Bombyx mori: one gene and its partner. The protein of the gene in region 1 purifies or fractionates together with the protein of each later gene. This does not show direct contact. Links are inferred from orthologs where the notes say so. Each region holds a gene or a part of one and is shown on either strand. Other genes may lie near its edges.

Region 1 (3,062 bases):
GATCGAAAACGCGACCCACTGAGAAGATCCCGCGAGAAACTCAGTGGGCATGGTACTGCAGGGAAGGTTTCTATCGTAGTGCCATCAACACACGAGAGGTGATGCGCGTGTATCTTCTAGTAATCTAAATTTATTATACAATTAGTGTTTGTTGCAAAAAAAAAATATGTCTACGTATACTTTGTATCTACCGCCACCTGTATCACCATCCCTCCTGTTTATGCCGCAAACCGGTTATAGAATAGAATTAACACTTCCACCTAAATATACCTGTGTTTATTATATGAGATCAAAGTTCCTTGTCCTTGTACTTTATTGGAAGTGGTTTGGGGGAATTACTTTTTACGTATTTTTTTTATGTTAACAGCACCAATTTACATTTTCTTAAAAGTTCGAATAGCTATTTATAAGAAAAATAAAACAGCGGAGCGTTTGCTAGAATAAACTACGAAATTTAATTAGCAAATCAGACATTGCCTCTAAAGAATACGTAGACTTTATAAACGTAACGTAAGTTAGTTATAAATTATTTTGCAATAAGCAGGTGCACAATAAATAAATAAAATATTTTTTTTTTCAATTCGACGAACGATTAAGAAATTTGATACTTTAAATAAATAAAAATGAAAGTTTCCAAATTTAAAAAAACAAGAGATATTTTTTTGTAATATTGTAAACTGTTATACAATAATTGCTAATCACTCACTTGATAGTCCAACCGGTCGGCGTGTTGTTCGGACGCACGTTGTGTCTCTAGTGGGGCTTTCGATTGCGCACTTTCACGTGTTACATCATTGGGCCTTGGCTCTCTTTTAACCAAAACGTAAGGTGGATGTGGCCACAGACGGACGATGTCTTATAGTGCAACAATAATAAATCGTCCTTAGGAATCTAATTAAGTCATCGATTGCTCACTTTGTAATGACGTCGTTTTTGATGGACGATGACTCAAACCTTAACAGGGTGTCATTACTCCCAGAAGAAAAGGTGATCTGACTAGTATCGTTGTAAATTTCTGCTATCATTTAAATAATAATAGTCTCTGAATAACATCGCCGTGATATAGAAGCTCGGAGACAAACGAGTGAAAAAAAAAAAGAGTAAGAAAGGCTCATTTTAGGACGGAAAATCAGCAGTGCCTTATATATCTATAGGCGTGCAATTTCTATTAGTCTTAAAATAGGTATCCCAGAACGTAAGCTATATATCCTAAGTGAATACTCTTTAGGCATTTTAAAAAAAAACTTGGTACCGCTTATGACAATTATTGCTGATATTGACAACAAGTCAAAAGATCCGTTCGGGCATTATTAAATTATCTTTCCTGCGTTTTCTGAATACACTTTTTGCGATGGAGACATTTTGCTTTTAAGCTGATTGTTGATTATAAAAAAATGAATGTTCTAAATAATGCGCGTGCAATTTGTCCTAATCTTTGGACCGGGCTGTGCTGTCAGAATTTAACTTGTATAAAAACTGTACGGGAGGTGCGACGAAAACGAGCGTCTGTCAATAAAAGCGATGCACCTCTAACGAGATTTTGTAGAAACAATCTTGAGCAAATACCGAGTCTGAGTATGTGGGTACAAGTGCGATACCACAAAGAATGTCCTCGTCTTCACCGCGATATCGAATTCCCAAACTTTAATCCGTACAGGAAAGATCAATACAAGGATGTGAGAAAGACAAGATGGGGTGCGGGCGACGAGAAGTCCGGAGTGACCTACACGATTGGCTTCTTCGGATTGCTCTGTGGATCGTATGCTGTAAAATCCGAGCTAGTACATTTCATTTCTTACATGGCCGCAGCCGCTGACGTGTTAGCTATGGCATCGATAGAAGTAGATCTGACCAAAATCACACCCGGGGCTTGTGTCTCATACAAATGGCGTGGAAAACCGCTTTTCATTAAGCGTAGAACTCAAGCAGACATCGATATTGAGGCAAAGACTCCATTGTCGGTTCTACGCGATCCAGAGACCCCGGAACAACGTACTACGATCCCGGAGTGGCTAATAGTGATTGGAATTTGTACTCATTTGGGATGTGTGCCGATCGCAAATGCTGGTGACTATCCGGGAGGTTTTTACTGTCCCTGCCACGGTAGTCATTACGATAACGTCGGTAGAGCTCGCAAAGGACCCGCGCCTTTGAATTTAGAGGTTCCCCCTTATAAGTTTGTTAGTGACTCTCTAGTAATTGTAGGATAAACTAGTCAACAAATACTTCTCTTGAAATTATAAATAAATTTTAAATTCAGATATATAAGTCCTCATAATTAATTCGACACCACACTGTCAATTTTGTTTTTATTTTTATTAAATTTTACATTATTATAGTAAAATATTTGAAACTGATTAACATAATATATTATTAAATTGAATCTCGAAAAATTATAGTGCCTCCCCGCTTCACCCCTTGGGGTAAAAGCCGACTTAGAGATTCTCCAAAGAACAAGCGTTCTTCGAGTATGATAACAGTATACTGCGATCGTCAACCATCGTGCTAAGCATGGCGACTATGGCTTTTTAAAGATTAATAAATAGTATTATGACAAATCTATGCCTTCATGTATCATTCATCCGATTAAATCGCAAATTTGAAGGCAAAATATTAAGTTATTGCGGTATACTTAAAAGGCTGCAAAAGTTGTCAAATATTTAGCTACGTATTTGCTCGTTCGCTTATATATATTTATCGCAGTAATATTCTTTAAGTAGCCTAACAAAAGTAACTTAGTTTTCTTCAAAAAAATCAGTAGACGATACACGATATACAATTTAATAAAAAAAAATTGCTTTGATGTGCGGATAAGCCCACCTGGTGTTAAGTGGTTACTGGAGCCCATAGACATCTACAACGTAAATGCGCCACTCACCTTGAGATATAAGTTCTACGGTCTCAGTGTAGTTACAACGGCTGCCCCACCCTTCAAACCGAAACGCATTAATGCTTCACGACAGAAATAGGCAGGGCGGTGGTACCTACCCGTGCGGACTCACAAGAGGTGTTACCACCAGTGTAGTCAGAATTTTTTTTATATTGACTGTTTTATATGCATA
Region 2 (3,761 bases), on another chromosome or scaffold:
CCAACTACCTAGCATTTAGCATTGAGATTTAAATCTCATATCTCAAAGTGATGATAGCATTCATATACCTAGTTGTAGGCTTCAGTTACAGTCTATCTCTAAGTAAAAGATCTTACATCCACCAAAAGCATTAAAAAGATTTTAAGGTTCAATTTCATTGTAATTATTTTGACACTTACTATAAGTGGTCCCGAGCCCAATTGGAAACCAGCATATATGGAACCAAGTAAACCCACATAAATGTGGTTTGCTCCCATTTTCCTCACATGGCCAGGTACAAGTGGAATTATAAGGCCCACCGCTAAAAGATCCTAGAAAAATTTAACATATAAAATGAAAATGATATATCAAATAAAGACCAATGAGAGGCATATGGATGTTTTTAAGGACTATTGGACTTTTGTTAGAATAAATAAGCATTGGCATGCTACACCAAATAATTTCCTCATGTTCATTTAGTTGTCTCCCTGAGGCCCTGGATCCATCCATAGTAATATCCTCACCTCATGAAAATATTCCTAGTCAACCTTAAAATTCCTAGAAGGCCAACAACCATTCTGTATATTTTTACCATAAAGTAATCATGTTTTAGTTTAAGTATGTACTTTGAAAGCTGATCTTGTGTCAACACAAAAGATACCCCTATATGGTCTCAGTCTCAGATGATTTATGACGTGAAGTGGGCTGCAGTAACCACTTAGTATGAATTTCATACTATGAAATAGATGTAGGAGACCATGATCTCACCGAAAGAAAAACCCACAAAACATTACAACTTGTGAGTTTAACAACTATTTAATACTATACTATACTATATTTTAAAAGTGCAAAAACAGAAGGGGCAAGATTGTGCATGTCTGATGTAATTTTTTTTTCAAGTATCGAAAATGTGCAATAAAGACAAACCAAAAAAGAGATTGCTTGTAGTAAACAGATTTCAAAAGGCATGATTAATAGATTTTACACGGGCAGCAACATATACGACTGATTACATTTCGAGCCCATTAATTTATGATGACAACGCATCTAGTCAACTATGTACATATCTATCACAAATTCTATTGTTATTGGTCAACCGTCAAAGTATGATTTATTTTACTCGGTTATTCATTAGACCGGTAGAGGGAACCTAGTCCATACATACAAATCCTTTAAAACGATATCCGAACAATCTGTTAATTGAAAAGTGAAATTATTGTATTACCTGAGGTGAGATAAAATAAAATAACCTTTGTTATAAGAATAAGAATACAAATAATTCATAAGTGTGAAAGAATATAGCTAGATATGTTATCTCGAGTCTTCCAAAAGTATATTAAAATCTTGTCTTAAATCCAATATACTGAAAAAACTAGCTTTTTAGGCAGCGGCTTGGCTCTGGCCCTGGCATTGCTGACGTCCATGAGCGACGGTAACCACTCACCATCAGGTGGGCCGTATGTTCGTCTGCCTATACGGCAATAAAAAATATATATACTTACTTTTTTAAACCATTTCGTAATTCGTCTTAATTGGCCATTAGTATGGCCCATACTATTAAATAAAAAAATTTAATGGAATGGAAAAACTACAGCCGATGCCCGATACCGTATGGGCCCCATCTGTCGTGTATCCCTTGCTTAACTGACTAGGTAAAAGAAGAAAAAAAAAACGTTATGTAAACAAACAATAAAGAAAATTTAACTAAATAATAAATATTATACCAGGGGTTTAGTAAAGACTAAACTGAAAATGATGACAAGACGTTTGGTAAACATGTAATCATTAGTGATTCGTTTCTAATTTGTATTTTAAAATCGCCTTGTTTCACATGGATAACGTTTACTTTATTTGTAGGTTTTACAAAGCTTCAAGAAATTGCACAGAACTAGAATGAAAGTCTTCGAAGGCGACGAACGTGCTTTATTAGCGGCACGAATAAAAATAAATGAAGAATTTCGCAAAAACAAAAATGTTCAAAATGAAAACTCGATTAAAGCGGTACTTTGTGAATATAGCTTTATGTTAAACAACATTAAGTAATAATTAAATATTAGGTACTTGTAGTCGTAACTATCAAAGAAAAATATTCTATAAATCAGACGAATTTACTCTGCACTACCTTTGGTTGACGGGTAGAGAATGCCTTAGGCATTAAGAAGTGTAATAAATAAATAAATAAATAAATTATAATACAAATGGTAACAGATATGCACAATCTTTTAGAAGAGACAGTTGTATTTTTATAATTTTATTAACTGTGGCGTAACAGAAGGATAATAAACTTATTATTAATTTTCAGATGATTGCATTTGGAGAGGATATAGAAAGGGAATTAAGGACTCAAGTGATTCAAGCCCGAGAAATAAAACCAGGTGTTTATGGTAAGTACATACTTCTTATAGTTTAATATAAGTATGTATTATGTTTTATTATTTTAATTATGAACTTAAGCACATGTGTTGGGTAACAAATCAGTTCATTGTGTGTCTGGGTACAAACCACACTTAGCAATTATTTTATTAAAAGGAGAACAAGTACCCTTACTAGTACACAATAGTACGAAACATTAAAAAATTATCTCAGGAATAACTGAGACTAAAGTTCAGAAAATTATTTAAAAAAAATTATTGCTCAGTTAAGTGAATGATTAAGCAAATGTATAAATTTTGCAGGTTTCATTTTTTTCTATGTTATTCCCTCATTGTGGAAGTCATTCACAAACTAATGTTATACATTCCTCAAAACAGTTGATAAATTTTTAAGAGTTTGAACACCACTATAGTAACCATAATACACTGAACATCTTATGTTTTAAAGCACAACATTACATTAAACTGATATGGGCTTGCGATGAGCAAGTTCACAACATTTAACAAATTGAAAATCACAATCAAATTACAATTATTTTTCTCTGTAACTCGATAACAATCACAGAATAATTATATTTCCTGAAGTTCTGAGCCTTAGGAATGATTAAAGCTTTTCAGCTTTTTGCCTTTTTTGTTTATACCTATTTAATTAATTTTATAATTAAATTTTCAAAAATAATATCCAAATGGATAAAAATTTCAGAAGCAAGAATTACTGATGACACTGTGAAATTAGACAACATACCTTTCAATGATCATGCTATATTAGAAGATGGGACAGAAGCACCACGACCATGCTGTCAAGATAAAACCAAATAATAGATATATAAGGCTAGTTAAAACAATACAATCTTGAATAGAACAGCAAATGTAATGTAAAAAATAAAAATAAACAGAATGTGATACAAAATTATTTTCATTACGATTCCTATGTTTTTATTATATCGAGGGGTGATAGGCTGTTTGGTTTATGTGACATTTTTGCAACTTTGCAGAAGGGCCAATTAAAGTTTGTAATAGAAAAAAATAATTAAATATTCACCTATTTGAATGGGGTAAACTTAATTGAAATTCAATTAAAAACGTCGAATTGTTGTTGCTAATACCAAATCAACGAACCTTTAATGATTACAAAGATAAATGTCGCATGTTACGTGAAATGTCGCTTAAACCAAATAGCCTTTCACCACTATGTGAAACGCGGTAAACGGTATCTTTTACCGCTTCGATGTTGATCGAAGTTTCACCGTGATTTTGACACCCTTCAAAAAAGTCGGCCGTCGGATTAAGTATGTAGGTACACCTACATAAAAAGGATCGATGACAATTATTATTATTATTATTGACAATTCAATATTTTAAACAATTAGAGTCGTTATTTACTTTCTACAGTCAAACAACTTCAGTCAA

What was found. Proteins that work in one complex are often made in the same cells at the same time.
Region 2: the proteins of cytochrome b-c1 complex subunit Rieske, mitochondrial (region 1) and complex III assembly factor LYRM7 purify together in Homo sapiens (co-immunoprecipitation; 5 studies listed by BioGRID and IntAct, with this or other methods). This does not show direct contact. The link is inferred for Bombyx mori from reciprocal best matches to the Homo sapiens genes UQCRFS1 and LYRM7.

The regions. Positions count from the first base shown.
Region 1 is NC_085107.1:12,018,517-12,021,578, forward strand, and holds cytochrome b-c1 complex subunit Rieske, mitochondrial, read left to right. Parts: upstream 1-1,394; coding exon 1,395-2,210; 3' UTR 2,211-2,562; downstream 2,563-3,062.
Region 2 is NC_085115.1:10,586,593-10,590,353, forward strand, and holds complex III assembly factor LYRM7, read left to right. Parts: upstream 1-1,390; 5' UTR 1,391-1,731; coding exon 1,732-1,749; exon of another isoform or gene 1,750-1,757; intron 1,758-1,836; coding exon 1,837-1,980; intron 1,981-2,281; coding exon 2,282-2,363; intron 2,364-3,054; coding exon 3,055-3,170; 3' UTR 3,171-3,261; downstream 3,262-3,761. Other genes in the region: major facilitator superfamily domain-containing protein 9, read right to left, coding at 180-311, 907-948.